4 linked regions of the Arabidopsis thaliana genome follow. The protein of the gene in region 1 interacts with the protein of each later gene in a pairwise test. Each region holds a gene or a part of one and is shown on either strand. Other genes may lie near its edges.

Region 1 (4,296 bases):
TTGAACCGTTTAACTAATTATGCATTAGCTCTCATAGAACAAAAGACCAAAAATCTATAAACATGCATATATACACGAATACGAATCAATGTTGAGAATCTATAGTTTAAGTAGTAGTCGACACTAAGAACATGAAGATGAAGAAGCTTCTTAAAGTTGTGTTTCTCTTGGTCGCTTACTTAACTTGTTCCATTGCCATGGCTAGTTACCATGGTTGTAACAGGGTTGCAGAGAAGGCAACGAGAATGAATGTAGTCGGAGAAGATTCAAGAAATGAGTTTGGAAACTACGAGGAGAAGAAGAAGAAGGCGAATTTGTGGTCAGGTCGAAAGTTAGCTTCTGGTCCAAGTCGTAGAGGTTGTGGCCACTAAATTTTTAGTTGGGGTAATAATTTAAGATATTTAATTTCATTTCTCTAATTTATGTTTGTTGGTATCGTTTAGTAATATGAGTATTTTAGTGGGTTCTTATAACCTAATGAAAGGATTTGAATATTCATACGAATTTCGCTTCACTATAAAATATATGTGACTAAAGATTTTTAATTGCGTTCATTTCATTGTGTAAAAAGAACAAAATGCCCCCTGTTTTCATTTGCTTTACCCTCTATATCTTCAATCCGATAAGTAGCTCTCTGTTTTCGCATCACGGCATCTAATGACGTAATGACAAAAACTTAAAAACCTTAACCAAGAAAAAAAATCAAAAGTGTTTATTTGTATAATAGATATTAGGTTTTGAAGTGATTAACGTAAAAGTGAAGAAACGGAAGGGGAAACTGGAGAAGGGCAAGGCCTGGTTTTTAGGCTAATTGATCTGTATGTCAAAACTCCGATTATGGCTCCGATCACCGGAGCTGTCATGTAAATCCATAAGTCTTCAAAATCCCATGCCACCACCGCCGGTCCAAGTGATCGAGCTGGGTTCATCGATCCTCCTGAAATCGGTCTAACCATACCATATTCCACAAAACGTTAGCATTATACGATCACATGAAATAACTATTTTCCAATACTTTACGGTGATAATGGAGTTTTAAGTTAAGTACCCGGTAATAAGCACTCCAAGGGAAATGACTGTTCCAATCACGAACCCCGTCAAATTACCCAACTGCACAAAATAACATATAAAATTAAATGCATATAAGTTTTCTAATCAGAGAGTTTGATTTTTTTTATTTTCTCTTTGGAAAGAAATAAAATTTCATAATTAAGAAATAGCATGTAAATGTCACATTTTAGGTGTTATTCTTATTAGAAGATATTTTTTTATAACAAGCGGACTAGAGGAGTAACGAAGATCGATTTGGTCACTTACATTTTGATGAGGACCACAATGCAACGCGGAGGCGAGAAACACGACGATGCTCGTAGCTATGAGTTCAACGAAAAATGCAGAAACGCAGCTTAAAGCAGGTTTTGTTGCCATAATGTCAGCGTTTACTCCGTACACTGACACCCCAACTAATGTTGCCGCCGTTGCCCCCAATGTTTGCGCCGTTATATACAACGGAACCTGGCATGTGACACAACATTCCAAAAAAGAATTTTCAGTTTTCATAAAAAATAATTTGTAAACGTCCAAACAAAAGATTAAGTTTTCTCGTCTCATCTTCGTTGATAAATGAAAAAAACACATTATTTGATCTTGGTCTAAACGCTAAGATAAACAAAAACAAACGATCAAGACCAAGATAATTCAACTACAATTCTTAGTTGGTCAAACGCCGTGTTGAGATGGATGCATTATACCTGAGACCACGGGAATCCGCCAAAGACAGCGAAAGCAATGGTGATGGAAGGGTTAAGATGGGCGCCAGAGATGTGTCCGATGGAGTAAACTACGACCACCACAGATAATCCAGCGGTGACGGCGTACTCTAGCAATCCCACGTGGCCGCCGGATAATTGGGTACTGCTTATGACCCCACACACACTGAACATTAGAATGAATGTCCCCACCAATTCCGCCATTACCTAAACATTAGTCCGGAGATACTATTAATTAGCATTTTATTTCTATACAAACATTTTAATATTTTCAAAAAAATTATTTGTAATTATGGACATAGCCAATTCTTTAGTTTAACACAAAAGTATTGTGAGATATTAATCTTGTTGATTCTATGATTTTGTGTATATATGAAGCTTACAATGCGTAGGGGATTGAGATCTATATCATAAGGGAGACATCCGAAAAGCCTTTGTCTCGAGGGATGATCTTCATCTCTCAAAGTAGATGGAGTTGAGCCAGCTTCTTGGTCGACTACTCTTGACCGTGCCTCACCATTCATCTTCTTAATTCCTTCAAGATATAGTGATCAAGAACTGAGGAAAGTCACAATCAAGGTGGCTTGATCCGCTTTATGAATGATCTAATGGAACAAAAAAAGAGAGATAGAGAGAAAAACGCAAAGAAGATGGAAATTAAAGAGTAATTATTTTATTTCAACAAAAAGAAGAATTAGTAGAGTGCTGCTATATTCCTTTGGTTAAGCAGTCTGAAAGGAGAAGAGGGTGCTCAACACTTTTCTTGTGTTCAATTTTCACTTCCTACCTACCAATATTTCTTAATGTTAATTTGGTGATTTCTAAGTCATCTATTTATTTTAATCATCTTCATTTCATGTGTAAAAAGGTTGACTCTCTTAAATCTTTTCACTTAAAAAAACAAACAAATTGTTGCACCAGCCGGGAATCGAACCCGGGTCTGTACCGTGGCAGGGTTCTATTCTACCACTAGACCACTGGTGCTTATTGATTCATCTATCCGAACTAAACTATTAAATATTAATTACGAATCTAGGGTTATTTATCTTTCTGATTAAGAGTTTTCGTCTGTACAAGTGGAATTTTGAAAAAAGAAGCAGAGAGCGATGGAGAAAGTGGTTGATCTCTTCGGAGTCGGAGAAGCTAATTCCCAGAAGCTACTCGAAGGAGGCAAAGATCTCAGCGAGATCCAACAGGTTTTCTTCGTTTCTCTTCTCTATCTATCCGTCTAATTTCACACTTGGAATTTCTCAGGTTTTGGAGTCTTTAATTCCGAAAAATCGTTTGTTGGATGAGTTTATTCTCAGGGATTGTTCATAGGATCAGTAGCTGAAGCGAATAACAAGGATTTTCTCAAAAGCTCTAATATCACTCATGTCTTAACCGTTGCTGTGGCCTTGGCTCCTCCTTATCCTGATGATTTTGTCTACAAAGTCATTGAAGGTTGGGTTTTTTTTCTTCAATCCTTAGCCTGTTTTTGAAATTTTTCGTTTAGAGATTTTATAAACTTGTTCTTCATCGTGTAGTGGTTGATAGATCCGAGACCGATTTGACAGTATATTTCGATGAGTGTTATAGCTTCATCGACCAAGCTATTCAATCTGGTGGTGGTGTTTTGGTTCATTGCTTCATGGGAATGTCTAGGAGGTTTTGATTCTTTTGCCCTTAAATCTCATACATTCAGTTATTAGATTTAGTGTTTAAGAATCATCAATGTGAACCAATTGCAAATTATGTAACCATATCAAAAAAGTGTATATAAATTGCCAACTGAGTAACCATAGGAAACTACAGAGACTCAGATTGGCAAAAGTGTATATGAATCTTGTAGTTTGCTTTGATTCTTTTATAGCTTGCTGATTCTGGTATTAGTAGGAGTTATGGTAGTGAACAGATTACATTTTGTTGTGGACAAATTAAGAGTTTTTCTTGAACCTGTAATTTGCTTATTGTGTCGTTCTGTTATATATATACTTACACAATTTGATTGGTTTGAGTTTTTCTTTGAAGTGTGACTATAGTGGTGGCTTACCTGATGAAAAAGCATGGAATGGGATTCTCTAAAGCTATGGAACTTGTAAGGAGCCGACGACATCAGGCATATCCTAATCCCGGTTTCATTTCGCAGCTCCAGCAATTTGAAAAATCCATCCAAGGTAATGCATGATTGCTTCAGCTGATAAGAAGATTCAAGATAGTGGCATGATGAACTCTCATGAAATTCCGGCAAGTGTCTTCAGCCCCATGTTGGCCAAAAAAGTTGATTGGTTTCGTGCTGTGAAGGATTTTTTCTTGTGAACTATTGATGGTGAGCACTTTGCCATGTCCATTAGCCAATTGAAATGAATGAAAACGCAGAATTTACATTTCCTCTGTTACTACAATGAATATATTTTCTAGGAGGATCAGTGTGAATTTAACCAAACCAATCCCATACCCAAACCAGACTGAAAATTGGTTGGTTTGGTTTTCGACCCTTGCATTGAATGTTAACCGATATCTTGATCGAACGTGAGTTTTTTTTTTT
Region 2 (5,887 bases), on another chromosome or scaffold:
GGACATTGTTAAACAAAAGGTTGTTTGTTTACTATTATTGAAGTTTGCTCCAATTAAATTACAGAAACCAAAACTTTCGTTTGTCCAACTTTGCCTTTCACTGACACTCACTCGTGTTGAATGGTGTGAATATGTGAATCCGTTACTTTGAGAATATAAACAAGGAACGGTAACTACAAAAACCATTTTCATGTTCTTGTAACGTATTATTTCGTTACTATCTGTAAATTGTCTAGATATTTTCCTAGTTTATTACTTTTGGAAGAAAATGACCTTAGTATTGTTTACTTGGTTCTGATTTCTTAATGAATGGTCAAATTGGACAGTGGGACATGCCAAGAATGTTATATAAAGAATGATTTTAAAATTGTTATTATATTGTTGTTTTCTTTTTCAAATCGACCGCCGTTTGCATTGGAAATAGTCCTTTCATGTTCGCCAAACAACAAAACTCCCAAAGCAGTTTCTATCACATGGTAGCTTTCCCATTTGGATCCAAAACACTAACATTTGCATTTCTGATTTTCTATACTTAATTCAAGATATTGTTGAATACACAAATATAGTGCTATTAATCTTGAGAATCCGAAAAATTACACACAAAAACAAAAAATCAAATTTAAAGGTATAATGATATGCTTGTACAAGATAAACAAATTATAATCAATGTCAAGAAGAAATACATTGAACAAAGCATGAAATACAGACACAGGGAAGGGACAAAAGAATGATCTGTAATGGAGAAAGCAAAAAGTGAAAATTTTGTCTTCTTCTTCCTCTTCTTGTTTTGATCATCTGAACAAAGCTTGGATCTCTTCAAGCGTTTTTCCTTTAGTCTCAGGAACCCAAAGACTCACAAAAACCACAGTGAATCCACAAACCAAAGCGTAGAGAGTGAAAGTTCCCCCACTGCTCCATGCTAACAGCATATTTGCAGTCATTGTCACTAACCATGACACGAACCAGTTTAACAAAGTTGCTATACTTCCGGCTAAACCCTTTATATTCACTGGCAGAATCTGTTTTACCAACATTAATCAGTATTAAAATTTCCAGTTGTGATTTTAACACTAAGGAACACCATGTTTTAATATTTAGTACCTCAGACATAATCAGCCATGGAATTGGTCCCATTCCTAGAGAGCAAGAAATAACCATAGCCTGTAAATAACTCAGCCAGATTTAGTACACATACCGGGAAATATGTAAATAAGAAAGTATCTTTCGTTGTGTGAATGTATAAAACAAACGACTTACCACAACTCCAACTACGGAAACCATGCTTAGAATGTTGTACATGTTGGAATCAGGTGATACAAATTCCTAACAAAAGATTAAGAAACCTCAATATCTCATAATTAGAGTGACACTCTTACATTGTACAAGTAGAGATGTCAAAAGTTAAAATGTTACCTTAAGGTAAAATGCAACTGCTACAATCACGAGGCTTATCGTCATTCCGATAGAAGAGATCTGCATTTCAGAAGAAAATGCTAATATTATGTTATGCATACATAAATTCTTCAGACTTTGTAAGATATACAGATGAATCTCAAATATTCTTCACCATGAGTAGAAGCCGACGACCTGCTTTATCCACCAACCATGTCGCTATCCCAGTCGCCACTACCTGGTATAGAATGAACAACGGTTAGAAAAATCGAATCTAATGTCTCCTAGATTGAAATGATATACCTGAACAACGCCAACTCCAAATGTCGCCACATTACTTGATGTCACCCCTTAGTGAATGATAATTGCAAACAAAGAAGCATAGTTAGAAATCTGTTTATTCTATCTTAGGACCATTCCAATAATCAAAAAAAACATATGACTCTACCTGCAGATTCAAAAATTGTACTCGAATAGAACAAGACACCATTGATTCCTCCAAGTTGTTGAAGTGCAAGCAGCCCTATACCAACCTGTAACACAGATTACAGGAAAAGAGTGAGTTTCTCTCATGTGTTGACAAAATTAGTTCAAGAGAGGTAAGAGAAATTGCACCATCAGTGGGAAATAGTATCTCCTGCGCTTGAGGTCTACAAACCGAACTGCAGAACGTTTGCTAGATGATGCCACAGATCTCTGCAGAGTGCATAAAATGAAAATTTTAAATAAGACAAGAAATCACATCAAAGCATTTCTTCAGTTTAGTCACTACCTTGATTTCATTAACCTCAACGGTAATATCAGTCTCAAATCCACGAAGAACTTGCAATGAAGTTTCGAAATCATCTGTCAAACCCATCTTTGCCTACAATTACAACACCAAAACAATTTAGGATAACCAATAATGCAACAAACTCAACAATATAAGCAATACGGTTGTAGAGGCATACCAACCACCGAGGAGATTCAGGAATGAAAAAAAGACCCGGTATCAACAATGTACATGGCAATACTCCTAAACATAAAGAAGACAAACAAGAAAGTGATTAGACTGTATCGATCAAAATAAAATAAAAACAGGTATAGTTTCTCCCAAGTCAAGTCAAAATGTTTTGTGAGTTACCCAAAACTGCAAGAATTCTCCATGGAACAAAGAGACCGAGTAAATACGCCAGCATTATCCCAATTGTTACAGAAAGCTATAAACACAAAACATTTATTGTTTAGTGTTAACATATGAATCAGCTCATAAAATGAAACATAAAAATAGTGAAGCTAACTAAACATGACAAACCTGGTTAACTGAACCTAAGGCTCCTCTCATGGTCTGTGGAGCGATCTCAGCTATATATACGGGAACCTAAAATCGCAATTCAAAGGTGTGTAATTATATTGATCACTCCAAACAAACATTGCTGAAATCAAAGAAATAGTTGAATCTAATATTACCGTATAGGAGATAATCCCAACTCCGAAGCCTTCTAACAATCTTCCCATGTAAAGAAAAGAAGTATCCTAAACAAAAACCAAGAACAACAACAACTTAGTAGGTATAGAGATAAGCCAAGAATATCAGAAACTTTGAGAACACCAAAACACTCACTTTTGCAAATGATATCGAAAGCCATCCAATAATATTGGGAATTGCAGCAATCATCAGAGACTGTCAAAAGGAAAGAAAAACACAGTAAATAAGATACAACAAGAAAGAAGATGTTACATGACAAATTGTCACAGATGAGAACATGTTTTAGAATCAAGAAACAAAACTATTATACCCCTTTCCGTCCAACGTATTCAGCAATCTGACCACTCGCAATTGCTCCAACCATAGCACCCACATTGGATAGAGACCCAAACACAGAGTACTAAAACATCAAACAAGAAACCTAAAAGTCAGAAAATTACAGAACAAGAGTCTTTACAAAAAAAAAAAAAAAAAACAGAACAGTTCTTAAATAAAGATGGGACCTTCATACCTCTGATACAGTTAAACCAAGATCCTTAGTAATGGCAGCTTGAGTTGGTGAGGAATAACCACACTGAAAACAAAAAGATAAATCAAAATCAACACTTTCTTAGTCAATTTGAGCAAAAGCAGAGAAATCCACATTGATAAAAAAAAATATAAGAAAGTTGAGATATTTGTTTATGTTGTTCTTACAGTGAATCCGAATTGAATAGGACCAAGAGCAACAATCAAAACACAAGCTAAGACAGAAATTGAGCTGTCTCGAATAACTTGAGACGATTCCAACATACTAGATTGTCTCGAACCCATCCGATACCAACTTCCTGTGTGTAAGAACGGTCGCCGAAGATCATTTCTTCCCTCTTCCGTATTATCATCCCTAAAACTCATCTTTTTGTTTTTCTTAAATCTACAAAACAATCGTAATCTACAGAGAGAAAAAAGCACGAATCTTTCGGAGGATAAAAATGTCGATCCTAAACTAGAAAATGCAGAAGAAGAAAAATACGAAATTTGAGGTAGGATTTGAGTTTTGGGTGAATTCAAAAAGATGTTAGACTTGTTTTGCTTAAGAATTCTTCATGGTTTGTAAAAATTGAGCCTTTGCGTGGAGAGACGCAGACTGTTTCATAGTTTTCCACCTCAGAACGCGTCGCCTAACATCGATTTATAGAATTCGTAAAGGGACCTGTTTTTTTTCTTCTCTGTCGACAAAAAAAAACTTAATTTAAAAACATTTTAATTTGTAATTAAATAAGATATCGTTCATTTTAAATTCTTTTATATCAAATTTAACTATTGTTTTTTTTTGTCTGATTGTCGTTTTCGAGTTATTTTTTGCGCAAAGATAATTTTTTGAATCATTGTCCCATGTTCGCTCACATATACAAGCATTTGTAGTCGCTTTGAATCATTTATTTTCTTCTACATACTTCTACATACTCATTAGTATTATAATGAGCTTTTACAATGTAACTAATTACGCAACAATACTATAAAATTGTGGTACAGGCTGAGACTAAACTATATTGTATTTTTAAGAAAATGTTTTTCTTTTTGTTTAGGTAAACTGTCTACTTCAAAGATATTTTTTGGTAGGAATAATAATTAAAACTTCCCATATTAGAATACGAGGCCACTAGACATTCCTTTTGACAACAAAAAGTGACAATGTCATTTTATATTTTAGCACTTATAATAATAGTTAGCATGCATTATAGAATTCATATTTAGATGTTGTCCTAACTCTTAACAAAATCAGAATAACAATATTGTGGGAGAAAATTTAGCTAAAACTTCAATTTAGGACAAATAATAAGATTATTAAAGTAACACTTAAATATGAATATAATGCTCGAATCCTCCTCTACTTTTTAGCATTTTCGCTACCTCGTTGATATTGATGTCGATAGGTCACAAATATGCAAGTGACATTATTTTATTAGATAAACTCGAATAATTATAGTTTTTGTTTTCTAGTATATGAAAAATATATGGATGTCATTAATTTCGAATACTTCAATAAATATAAATATTTATTCAGATACAACATTATTTATTTATTTTCAATATTTAAAATCTTTGAGAATACGACATGTTATTTCAATGTTTACCAATAACATCCTACTATATTATTTAGGAAATACATTTTAAATATAACTTTATTTTTTTGTAAGTAATTACATAGGTATGTCATTAGAAATAAGATTTTAAAGAGTAAATTAATTTATTTCTTTAAAAATTAAAAGTCAAATACTAATTTAATTAATTAAATTTAACTCAAAAACGAAATACATTATTAATTTCCAAAAAAGTAACCAATTAAAATCAACAAATTAGATTTGATATCTAAATTATCATATTAATTTTTTATTAATTATTATAGTTCACCTCTCATCTTTATATGATTCTATTTTTGCAAAAAAATAATATCATCGTTATAAAAAAATAATTAGAATTTTTTCGCATATGCCACAATTTGAATTTTTAAAAACGAATATAAACTGTTCAATACATGAAAAAATACTATAACGGGTCAAAAGTAGATTTAAGAAATTTTTTTACTGAGTACTGTGTCATAGTTTGAATATTTATATTCAATTTCATACATATTATTTTAAAATTTATAATCTTATATACTACAATAATTAATAACATATTAGATTTTTTAATGTGTATGATGTGATTCAATTTTTAATACAAGCTGAAAAATCCTACAATTGACGGGTTTAAATCAATATTAATACAAGATGATATACTATATGTGAAACTTTAAAATTAACAATCAAAATACAAGTATATAATTTTAAACACTAAACAATATAAATAATATCAACAAAACATATACAACTCGCAGTTTACTATACATTTAAAATCAAATAAAATAATATCATATATTTATAATCAACTTTACAATAAAAGTTTTTAGTTTAACTAAAATATAAGACTACCTGCTGTATAATGCAAGTTAAAATTATAAATAAGCCGATTACCATCACGATGGATGTACCATCTCACATACAC
Region 3 (5,777 bases), on another chromosome or scaffold:
ATACTTAGAATAGAATTCACTATACTAAAATTCAATTAATTTGTAAATTTGTTATATTTTGGTTACATTTTACTAGTTATATGTGTGCGTTTTTTTGGAAGCATTTGTTACGAAATCTTTGAGCATTTTTGTGATATTTTTTGCATCTTTATTTAATAATCCAAATGCAGACCACCAACTAAATATGAAAGTTTTATAATTATTAACAGCTTAATGTTTGAAATAATCATATTCATAATGACTTACTAGCAAGCTTTCAAAAGTGGAAACTGTTTTTGGCTTTGGTCTTGTATCTAATTGCAAATGTAAAAAACTCACTTTCAATTGGAAAATATTGTATGATGAAAAGTAGCAAATCTAATCTAATGACTCATATGACTGATTAGTCGCTTGATATGTTCAAATAAGACGACCCGGATCTCTTTCTTTCTATTTCTACTACTATATGACACATATATATACTTCCTACATGCAAGTTATTATTTTTAAATCATTTTACGTCGATAATAATGTAAACTAATAAAGTAACATCTGTTTTAGTTTTTGGTAAAAAAAAAAAGATCATCTATTCAAACAGCTGAAGAATTAGTGACTATGCATAAAACCCAAAAGAGTGAGTTTCTTGGAAGTGTTTTAGACTGAATTTTGATTTAAACCTGTAAATTGTAAACACCAAATACAAATAAAAGAAAAAATAATAACCACTAGAATATCTCGAAGACTGAAAAAAAAATAGATGGGAGATGCCATCTTGTAGAAGTTGGTCCAAATGCAGAGATGGTCCAGTCTTTTTTGCTTTACCTTCACACCTAACAAAGACCTCACACACTTATCTCATCCCTTTCTTTATCTCCTTTTGAGGAGAAAAAAAAAAAGGTGAACACAAACAAGAAAAACTTTAAAGCTGCTTTCTTCTTAATCAATTCCATTCATTTGCTAAGGTGTGACTGATCGTGGTGGCGTCCTTGATTCTCCTGGAGGAGTCTGACCTTCTGATCCCTTTGACGGGTCATCAGACGATTGTCTTAACCCGTCATCGGTTGTCTCACTTCTGTTGACATCTTCGATCATTCTTAGTACTTCTTGCATTACTGGTCGTTGATCAGGAACCGTTGATACACAAGCCATTGCGATTTGAAGAAGCTGAACCATCTCTTCCTCTATGTTGTGGTACCTCATCAGCTCAACGTCAAATACTTCAGCAGTCCATTCTTCTCGAACCACGGAGAGTACCCACCGAGGTAGATCAATACCTTCTTCCCCAAGTGATGCCTGGTTTGGTGATTTTCCTGTTAACAGTTCAAGAAGCAACACCCCGAAACTGTACACATCCGATTTAAAAGTTACTTTCCGTGTCTCGAGAACTTCAGGAGCATGATAACCCGCCAAACGGTTTGGTGGACTCGAGTTACTGAACAGTTGATTCAGTCCATAATCAGAGACGCAAGTGTCTTGGTTTGGGTGTAGGAGGATGTTTGAAGCTTTAATGTTTCCATGTACCAATTTGGCTGAAACGTGAAGATGCGCCAAACCTCTCGCTGCAGTTATCGCTATTCTCATACGGTTATCCCAATCTAACGGAGTTCGCCCTGATCCACGGCTCCCTAAAACAAACACAAACCTATTAGCCAGATATTGCAAGTTAACTTCAAAATGTAAACACAGTTTCAAAAGACCAAAATGTTCATAGTACTAGCTTAACATTATAATTCCCATCATAACTTAGGTTAAAGCTTTAAATTGTAAATACATTTTCAGTAAATTAAAATATTCATATTCTAAAGGTTCTTTAGTTCCATCACTCATTTAGACAAAAGTTTACTTCAAGGAAAAGAGTTTAAGATATGATGATGAGAAAAGCCCATGTGGAAGAGTCTTTTTCTTTTCCTTTATTCCAATCTTTAAAGAGTGAGAGAGAAGCAAAATTATGAAATAAATTATTATGACACTAACCAGACAGACACATAACAATGTCGGCAACACACTTTTCTCTTTTAATAATTGCATAACAACTCCAGCTATAACTACCACAATTCAACAAAAATAAAATATCTAAAGAATGTGATGCAGTCTAATAAGAATGTTTTTCTTGCCAGCAAAGCAAAATCACACAAGTATCCATTAGAAAAATATTATCAAATCATCACTCCCTAATCTCACTAAGGTTCCAAATCTTAACCATAACCATAACCATAAGAACTCAAAACCTAACCAAGATTCTACACAATGTATCTAACTAATAGTGTAGTAACAATGAAATTGAGCAAAATTGAGTAAGATAATAGATGCTAACCGTGGAGAAGAGCAGATAAGCTTCCGGTAGGCATGAAATCGAAAACGAGAAGTTTCTCATCTTTAGAGTAGTAATAAGCTCTTAATGGAATAACATTTGGATGTTTGATTTTACCAACAACTTCCATTTGTGTTTCGAACTCTTTCTTAGACGCCATTACATCTTTAAGCCGCTTAACAACAACCGTGGTACCTTCCTCTAACACCGCCTTATACGATGTTCCAACACTTCCTTTACCTAAAACCTCAGCAGAAGCTCTAAGCAAATCTTCCAAATCAAAACTATACACTCCTCCTTCAGTGAAAACAAGCTTATTCCTCTCTGTTTCACCTCCCATACCCGATGATGTCCCCGTTACTTCCTCTTTCGAGGACGAAGCACCCGGTGGAAGATCCACATTCCTTGTAGCTACTCCCGCCGGTTTCGGCTGCTTCGTCCTCGCCTCATTACTTCCTCTTCTTTTTCTTAAACACAAGAACAAAAGCAGAGCTAGCAAAAGAAGCGCAACGAGCGCGCTAGCGACGATTATCGCGACAATCGCAGCTTTCGAAAGCTTTGATTTCTTGCTGGATAAACGATTAGAAGGATTAATCAACGACGGAGACGGCGAGGGAGACACAAAAAACGATTTACAAGGCTTTAACGGACCACCACAGAGATCTACATTTCCAGTAAACGATTCAGCTGAGAATCTTGATAATGAAGACGGAATCGAACCGTTTAGATTGTTGTTAGAGACATTGAAATCGACTAAACCGAGACTAATACTAGGAAGATTCCCTGAGAAACCATTGTTACCGAGAAACAAACCAGTCAAGTGAGTGAGATTATTGACTGAGAAAGGTATCGAACCAGTGAAGTTGTTAGATGAGATATCAAGACGAATCAAGTTGTTTAACTGAGTAAAACTCGTCGGAAACTCGCCGGAGAATTCGTTGTGTTGAAGATATAAGCTTCGCAGATGAGTAAGATTTGAGAAATCTGAAGGGATCTGACCAGAGAGACGATTAGAACGAAGACTGAGAACTCGGAGCTCAGTGAGTCGACCTAAGGAGCCTGATGGGATCTGACCGACTAAACCGGTTCCTGGTAACCGGAGAGAGTGGATTGAAGATTGGTTTGAGTTGCATTCGACTCCGACCCAGTTACAAGCTGAGTCTGACTCGTTCCATTGAAGACGATTCTCGTGAGGTATTTGTTGAAGGAAAGTGAGGAGTGCTTGTTTTTCTGCGGTTGATTCCGAGTTGACTCGCTGAGTCAGTAGCAATATCGAGAATAGAGAATTCAAAACCCATGAAATTGACGCCATATTTGGGGGGGTTTTTTTTTTTGGAGAAAGAGAAAAAAAAAACGAAGCTTTTTTGCTTCTTTCTAGTTTTGTCTGTTTTATTACAAGAAGTGGGTTTGCTGAAAACCAGAAGTGGTTTTCCGACAAGAACCCATTTTTGGTTTTTCTGAACTTGGAGAGAGAAGTGTGTGTGTGTGAGTCAATGTGTGTGGAGGTGTGGGATCGTGAAGTCTTTAATGAAGGAGAAGGAGAACGAACGAATCAAATCTATCACGAGGGACAAATATGTTAAACCAAAATATTATTTTTCTTTTATTGGCTCAGACAAAAATATACTATTAAAAGTAAAGTTTCTTTCTTTTTTTCTTTTTTCCATGAAAAAAGCTATTAATATTTCTTTTTCCACATTAAAGCTATTAATACGTAGCTGGAAACAATTGAATTTTCATGCTTTGATGATATTTGTTGAATTTAAAGTTTGATTATTATCTTCGAAGAGACAGTACATTTGAATAGATATCCAAATTAATTTATTTTATTATTTAAATTGCTACTGAATTATGGCATTAGGATTTAAGTAATTGAAATTGACATAATAAAATCCAGCTGACGCAAAAAATAATTACATATGTTTAGCGTATTGATCTTTAATTACGATTACCTAAACCATTTAACCTCTTGGATAACTATAAGAAAATAAACATTTATGGTGTATTCTCCACATATTTGAACAAAATGCTATTTCCTAAACCTAAATCATCCACATTTGTTATATCATAATTTCCTATCTTTGTTTTTTTTACTTGCTCTCCACAATATTCTGAAATAACCTTAACCATAAACATAGATTAAATATCAATCTTTACAAGACTTTTAGAGACTCATCAAGCAAATATTTATCTGGTGGGCTTTGCAAACTTCCGCCCAATAAGGTGTTCAAAGCCCAGTTACAAAAGTTTTGACCCAAGCCTTATTCAGCAAATATTCAGGTCAGGCCTAAACTCTTCCCTACCCAATTTTAGACAATCGTTGTATTGTTTCATGAAACCAATTGAACAAATACATCAATTGGGACATAATGCACTATGTTTCTTGTTGGGTATAAGAATTTTTTGAGAACCATGCCATTAGTTACAACTAGGGATATGATTCATGATACCGAAAGTTTGACCAAACTAAATTACATACGATTTCTATATGAAGATGCAGAGTGAATCAATCAGCTGATGGTGATCAGATCGTTGATGGATTTCAGGACGCTGCATCAGGTTTCATCAGACGCTTGATGTGCAGACATGGATGCGAGAGCAAACGTGGCAAGCTAAGGCGAATGATGTGAAGAGCCAAGGATGGAAGTTAACTTGGAGAGGTGTCAAAGACAAGGTTCATCGAGAAAATATAGAAGATATTATATCGAAGAATAAAGAAAGGAATAGGCTTGGAAACAAGGAAGATTCCATATCAAGAGATTCTCGGAGATCCTAAGGTTAGGGTTCTGGGGAATTGATATAAATATTCTAGAGCAGAGGGTGAGCCGCTTTGAGCACTCTGGGATATTTTTCGATACTAAGTAAAAACTTCAAAGCCGTGCAAAAGCTTGAAGGTGAGTGTGTAGTTCTCTTCGTCTTCACGGGTTAGTGATAAAAAACAGAGAAGAGAATTAGAGCTTAGTTATTCTTAGTCGGGGTTGATCTTTTGGGTAGATTAGATCAAGTAAGAACTGAGATAATACTTGTAACAAAAGTTTATTATCAATAAGAATAAGTCTTTTAAACAGCTCTTTGTGTTGTGGTAGTCTCTATACCTTTTACTATATGGTTTCAGTTTTTGTAAAACCAAAAAACCATAAAATCTGAACCAACCCTAAACCAAAAAACAGTTTGCCTACCCGTAGGTTACTTATTATTATGATCTTTTACTTGTACAAGAAATTGTTGATCATAAACGTTTGTGAAATGGAGACTCTTTATGTCAACAATTAGCGAACAAAAAGATTGATTTTGAACACAGATATGAGATGTTTGTATTCTCATTCATAAATAAATTATGTTTGATGTTTTCAATTCATTTTGGTTGATTATTCTTCTTTTCTGTAGTGATGAAAGGTTACCTTTTACTTTGTGGGATCAATTACTACCGAGCATATTTTCAATGCCTCTGAACAAGCTAGTGATGAGATGGTTATTTGTTTGGCGA
Region 4 (5,853 bases), on another chromosome or scaffold:
GCTTTATTTCTCTTCCTAACTTTCTCTGCTTCTTCCCACTCTTTCTCTATCTGCCATCCTGGTTTGTAATCCCCACGGTCATGCAAGAACTTACACGAATCTCCATATCCACAGTATCCGGTTTCTTTGTAATCCTTGCAAATGTCTGGCTGGTAATCGAATCTAGCCGACACTCTTATGTGAGCAGAAGCTCTTAATGGCCCGTGTGAGCCTCCAGCTTTCTCGCTCGAGATTGTTTGTTCTCTTCTAAACCCAGCTTTGTGATCTGTATATCCATGAATTCCTTTGTACAGCTTCTCATCAGAAGCCTTTTTCTTATTCCCTTTCAATGCTTCGTCTGCTTTTTTAAGAACTCTCTCACGGATAGCTCGTGCGTCTTGATTGAAGTCGGTCTCAGTTTCAAGGGTTGCTGTTGCTCCACTGTCGTTCTGAACCTGGATTTCCTTGGATGAATCGTAGTGAAAGACGGACCTCTCAGGAGCTCCACTCGTTGTAGTAGAACTCTTAGATGGTCCAGAAGAAAAGTATAACTTGCTATCGGGTTTTGCAACTTTCTTTAGATTTTGTAGAATAGAGCTTTCGCTTTTCGAATCTCCGTCTTCTTCATCAGCGTCAATGGTTCTTTTTCTTATGTTTTTACTTTTCGTTGGCTTCTTGAAGAAAGTGCAAACTGAAACAGAAGAATGATTTGATTAGTGTAAATGAAAATTTCTAGCTAACAACGAAGAACAAGAAAAAATCTCAATGAGACGACAACTAGAATTGAGATAGAAGGAAGTATATGTAACCTTGTTGAGACTGAGTTTCTTGGGCAGCAGGTTGAGGTAGAGGTTCTTCTTGCTGAGAAGGTTTAGGCTCACCAGAATCTGACATAGTTAGATATAAGACTATGTAACAAACACAAATCACCCACTTGTAATTTGCTGCTTAGTGTTTCCCTGCAAAATTCAAGATTAGTATTAAGTCAATTTCCTGAAAACTTGTAAATTTGTTTGCACTGAGTCAAACAACAATTTTATCAAAATTTCTCCAGATTCAGTTACAATAATAGACAATGCAACATAAAAATGATCACCTGAATTCTTCCTAATTCATCTACGCGAGCTCACGAATAAACCCTAGCTAACTATCTATATCGGTGGCAATTTCATTCACAGTAGATAAGGAAGCAGAAATAGAAGCTCCAGACAGATCAATCCGAAACACAGTTCGACAACTCGATGTGTCAACGGAAGCTACAAAATTTGGAATCTAAAAACCCTTTGAATTGATTGAAATTGGAGACAAAAGCTCGAACAACACTAAAGACTAAACAAGAACGAAAAGTAGATCAAAAGTATGGAGATTAAACACAAGGAAGAATATGTTACCTTAAAAAAAAATCTAAAAATCGACGCCGGTGAGCTACACCGTCAAAAAGAACGACGACGCCGTCCGTATTTTCCGACAGAAAATAAATCAGTGTGAAGAGAAAAGAAATAAGGAACATATGGTGGGGCGGTTACTTCATTTTGGGTCATGAATCTAAATGGGCTCAATATTCATAATGGGCCCGGTACTTAAAATTTGGCAACTTGCTTATTCTCGCCGTCTGACTTTGACCAAGTCATTCATCTGAATGAAATTGTTTTATGAAATGATTTTCAATTGAACAGACTTTATAATATTTAATTGCATAATATTCCTCTTTCCCTCCCTTTTTGTCGTATAATAAAATTCTCATATACTACTTTTCCAGGAAACAATATACAGAGAGAGATACAAGTAACCGCCATATGAGTCTCTCTCTCTTTCCAGCGACGACGGGACCAGTTGCTTGAATTGAAGAAAACGCCGTTCACCGACTTCCGTTTATTAGCCGAATCTTACTATCTCGCCGTTACCTACTTCGTTTCAGGTTAGTTTGATGATAGAATTTTGATTCCGATTTCCGTTTTTGTTCTTTTTCGTCTGAATTTATTTTGCTGTTTCTCAGAACCGAAACGCTTAGATATATGTCTTTCGTTTATGGTCAATGGTTTTTTGAAATTTGGATTTCTTATCTTTGATGAACAGTGTTTTTAAGTTGTTCGTGTGGTTTCCATTTATTGAGCAGGAATGGGTAGGAATTACAGGATTTGGTATAATCTAATGTTAGGTGGAAATTGACTGATTCTAGGTTCTCTAATTAACCTTTTCAAGAAAGAAATATTTAAAAACACATACACACAACACAATTGTATTTGTAGTTAGGTGTCTACTTGCTTATTTTTAATTGGTATTGGGGATTATCATTGTACGTAATCATGTAGAAGAATTCGTATGTCTTAAGTTTTGGTTCTTATTATAATGTTAGGACTCGTCACCCTGTAAGCGAAAGATCAGTTGAAATATACAAGGGTTTGGCTGATGGCATTTAGCCATGATAATCGTGTAAGGTTGGTAGTTACAGAAAATCTTGAAAACAGTTCATAGTTGAATGATTTTTTCTACTATCTCATTTTCTTATGATTTTGTTTAGGTTCAAAGATGAAGGCAAACCATTATCCTCTGAATATGGTTATGGAAGAAAAGCTAGACCTTCTTTAGATAGAGTTTTCAAGAATGTAAAATGGGGATTCAAGAAGCCATTGAGTTTCCCTTCACATAAGGATCCTGACCACAAGGAAACATCTAGTGTTACTCGGAAGAACATCATAAACCCGCAGGATTCGTTTCTCCAGAACTGGAACAAAATATTTTTATTTGCTTGTGTGGTTGCTTTGGCGATTGATCCATTGTTTTTCTACATTCCCATTGTCGATAGCGCAAGGCACTGTCTTACTTTGGACTCAAAGTTGGAGATAGCTGCGAGTTTGCTTCGTACGCTCATCGATGCCTTTTACATTATTCACATTGTGTTTCAGTTCAGGACAGCTTACATCGCTCCTTCTTCGCGGGTTTTTGGAAGAGGTGAACTGGTAGATGATGCTAAGGCAATAGCCTTAAAGTATCTCTCTTCTTACTTCATCATTGATCTACTCTCTATCCTTCCTCTCCCACAGGTAAATGACTAGTTTGATTACTTGTTCAAAATGTCAATGATCATTTCTTTTTGAATCCTCTGGCTTCTTAACTTTTGCAGATAGTAGTTTTAGCCGTTATTCCAAGCGTCAACCAGCCAGTCTCTTTGCTAACAAAAGACTACCTTAAATTTTCCATAATTGCTCAATATGTTCCTCGGATTCTCCGTATGTATCCGCTTTACACTGAAGTGACAAGAACATCTGGCATTGTTACTGAAACAGCATGGGCTGGAGCTGCTTGGAACCTCTCTCTCTATATGTTAGCCAGTCATGTGAGTTTCGGATCTTTTGATGACTGAATCTTTATACATGTAAATGCATATTAAAGGTTATATGTTAAACTTACTTATTCAGGTGTTTGGAGCTTTATGGTACTTAATCTCAGTAGAACGAGAAGACAGATGCTGGCAAGAGGCATGCGAGAAGACAAAAGGTTGTAATATGAAATTCCTCTACTGTGAAAACGATCGTAACGTTAGCAACAATTTCCTGACCACTTCTTGCCCATTTCTCGACCCTGGTGATATAACAAACTCAACCATCTTCAACTTTGGCATCTTCACTGATGCTCTTAAGAGTGGCGTTGTTGAATCACATGATTTCTGGAAGAAATTCTTCTACTGCTTCTGGTGGGGTCTTCGAAATCTGAGGTTTGTAAGACACACATAAAACTGTTGACAATAACTAACTAGCTATATTTGGAGATTTTAAGCCGTGAAATGACCTGTTTATATTTGCATCTTAAGCATATATATCTGTCACAATTTAAACAAGTCATCATTCTCACAAGTTGCTTTTGTTGTTGCAGTGCATTGGGACAGAATCTCCAAACTAGCAAATTCGTTGGTGAAATCATATTTGCTATATCAATCTGCATATCTGGACTAGTCTTATTTGCTCTACTTATCGGCAATATGCAGGTATTAGCCTCAAATAATCGCTTCTCATTTTCTGGACTTGTTCCATAATGCTACATATAAGTTACTCAGGACACGCATGTAATTTTTGTTTGCTGTTGCAGAAATATTTGGAGTCAACAACAGTTCGAGAAGAGGAAATGAGGGTGAGAAAGAGAGATGCAGAGCAGTGGATGTCTCATAGAATGTTACCTGAAGACCTGAGGAAACGTATCAGAAGATATGAACAATATAGATGGCAAGAGACAAGAGGAGTTGAAGAAGAAACCCTTCTTCGTAACCTCCCTAAAGACCTCAGAAGAGATATTAAACGCCATCTTTGCCTCGATCTCCTCAAGAAAGTGAGTAACAAGCTTTCTCTCTTTTTCTTCCATAAACTGAACTAAAGAACCCTCAGAATCCAAATTATATGATGTTTATGGTAGGTACCTTTGTTTGAGATAATGGATGAGCAGTTACTTGACGCGGTTTGCGATAGGCTAAGACCTGTGCTCTACACCGAGAACAGTTACGTGATCCGTGAAGGAGATCCTGTTGGGGAAATGTTGTTTGTTATGAGAGGAAGACTGGTAAGTGCCACCACTAATGGAGGAAGAAGTGGGTTCTTCAATGCCGTGAACCTAAAGGCAAGTGATTTCTGCGGAGAAGATCTTCTCCCGTGGGCATTAGATCCTCAATCTTCTTCTCACTTTCCCATCTCGACAAGAACAGTTCAAGCTCTCACTGAAGTCGAAGCCTTTGCTCTCACAGCTGAGGATCTCAAGTCTGTCGCTTCACAATTCAGACGCCTCCATAGCAAGCAACTCCAACATACTTTTCGGTTCGGTCACTCCCATCAGCTTCTTTGGCTCTGTTTTCGGTTTTGGATCTTCTTAACCGGATCTTGATTATATATACAGGTTTTACTCAGTGCAATGGAGAACATGGAGCGTGTCTTTTATACAAGCAGCGTGGAGGAGATACTGTCGGAGGAAGTTAGCCAAGTCACTACGCGATGAAGAAGATCGTCTCCGAGAAGCGCTCGCTAGTCAAGATAAAGAACACAATGCTGCAACCGTGTCGTCGTCCTTGAGCCTTGGAGGCGCTCTTTACGCGTCGCGTTTCGCATCAAACGCGCTTCACAATCTGAGGCACAATATCTCCAACCTTCCTCCTCGCTACACTCTTCCTTTGCTACCTCAAAAACCCACCGAGCCTGACTTCACCGCCAATCATACAACTGACCCTTAGATCTCTCTTGCATGTGTATAGTGTGTGGAATAAAGTGTAAAAACAATGGTTTGAACTTTGAACCAATAAAATGTAAAAAATTGTTTATCAACTAACAGAAATTGAAATAATGGCTGGCTCTTATGCGCCGCTTAACTTTGGCTACTTCAGTTCAGCATCACACATGGAGGTATAGTTAGAGACTCGATCTGATGATCAATGCATTGAGGAAAGTGGGAAAAGCATATTTAGCTTTCAAGCTAATGCATAGCAAAACTGGGGTTGGTTATGAGAGAATGGCTAGTGTTAGAAGGTCTGTCAGGTTTAGGACTTTACTTAAACTTGTTTTGACTCCCGAGTTTAAAGAAACTTTTTTGCGTTTATGTCTTTTCTTGAAGAAGGAAACAATCGAAAGTTTCCTTTTTATTTTGGAAGAACCTAATAATGAAAACCTGAGGGAGAATGCTAATCTCCAACAACATCTCACTCATTCTCTCTTCTTCCTTGAGAAATCAAAGCAAACCAACCAATGTTTCCTTTTGGTTTTGTTCGGTATAATATCAACGTCTCTTTCGTATGTCGGTTTTCAGTGTTTCCTTTTTTTAAGTCCCGCTCCTGTATAAAGCAGACCAACATATTGAGCTTGCGTTTATATATACTACAAGTAACCCTAGAGTACTTTC

What was found.
Region 2: the proteins of NIP7;1 (region 1) and AT1G19450 interact in a protein complementation assay, tested with the Arabidopsis thaliana proteins (one large-scale study listed by BioGRID).
Region 3: the proteins of NIP7;1 (region 1) and AT2G26730 interact in a protein complementation assay, tested with the Arabidopsis thaliana proteins (one large-scale study listed by BioGRID).
Region 4: the proteins of NIP7;1 (region 1) and CNGC10 interact in a protein complementation assay, tested with the Arabidopsis thaliana proteins (one large-scale study listed by BioGRID).

What each region holds. Positions count from the first base shown.
Region 1 is NC_003074.8:1,840,642-1,844,937, forward strand, and holds NIP7;1 (NOD26-like intrinsic protein 7;1), read right to left. Parts: upstream 2,556-4,296; 5' UTR 2,294-2,555; coding exon 2,153-2,293; intron 2,071-2,152; exon of another isoform or gene 1,977-2,070; coding exon 1,752-1,976; intron 1,655-1,751; exon of another isoform or gene 1,639-1,654; coding exon of another isoform or gene 1,516-1,638; coding exon 1,318-1,515; intron 1,111-1,317; coding exon 1,049-1,110; intron 949-1,048; coding exon 747-948; 3' UTR 527-746; downstream 1-526. Other genes in the region: AT3G06090 (uncharacterized protein), read left to right, coding at 132-371; MKP2 (MAPK phosphatase 2), read left to right, coding at 2,876-2,965, 3,077-3,212, 3,296-3,416, 3,780-3,936. UniProt on the Arabidopsis thaliana protein: Aquaporins facilitate the transport of water and small neutral solutes across cell membranes.
Region 2 is NC_003070.9:6,730,880-6,736,766, forward strand, and holds AT1G19450 (Major facilitator superfamily protein), read right to left. Parts: upstream 4,146-5,887; 5' UTR 3,755-4,145; coding exon 3,557-3,754; intron 3,435-3,556; coding exon 3,372-3,434; intron 3,261-3,371; coding exon 3,171-3,260; intron 3,056-3,170; coding exon 2,996-3,055; intron 2,908-2,995; coding exon 2,842-2,907; intron 2,753-2,841; coding exon 2,687-2,752; intron 2,592-2,686; coding exon 2,516-2,591; intron 2,408-2,515; coding exon 2,343-2,407; intron 2,258-2,342; coding exon 2,165-2,257; intron 2,089-2,164; coding exon 2,008-2,088; intron 1,926-2,007; coding exon 1,841-1,925; intron 1,743-1,840; coding exon 1,696-1,742; intron 1,631-1,695; coding exon 1,568-1,630; intron 1,474-1,567; coding exon 1,414-1,473; intron 1,324-1,413; coding exon 1,258-1,323; intron 1,162-1,257; coding exon 1,102-1,161; intron 1,020-1,101; coding exon 792-1,019; 3' UTR 532-791; downstream 1-531.
Region 3 is NC_003071.7:11,386,446-11,392,222, reverse strand, and holds AT2G26730 (Leucine-rich repeat protein kinase family protein), read right to left. Parts: upstream 3,926-5,777; 5' UTR 3,603-3,925; coding exon 2,294-3,602; intron 1,605-2,293; coding exon 937-1,604; 3' UTR 541-936; downstream 1-540.
Region 4 is NC_003070.9:131,752-137,604, reverse strand, and holds CNGC10 (cyclic nucleotide gated channel 10), read left to right. Parts: upstream 1-1,680; 5' UTR 1,681-1,897; intron 1,898-2,282; exon of another isoform or gene 2,283-2,335; 5' UTR 2,336-2,388; coding exon 2,389-2,417; exon of another isoform or gene 2,418-2,486; coding exon of another isoform or gene 2,487-2,500; coding exon 2,501-3,023; intron 3,024-3,103; coding exon 3,104-3,316; intron 3,317-3,398; coding exon 3,399-3,694; intron 3,695-3,852; coding exon 3,853-3,964; intron 3,965-4,065; coding exon 4,066-4,302; intron 4,303-4,386; coding exon 4,387-4,781; intron 4,782-4,860; coding exon 4,861-5,191; 3' UTR 5,192-5,335; downstream 5,336-5,853. Other genes in the region: AT1G01350 (Zinc finger (CCCH-type/C3HC4-type RING finger) family protein), read right to left, coding at 1-670, 789-873. UniProt on the Arabidopsis thaliana protein: Probable cyclic nucleotide-gated ion channel.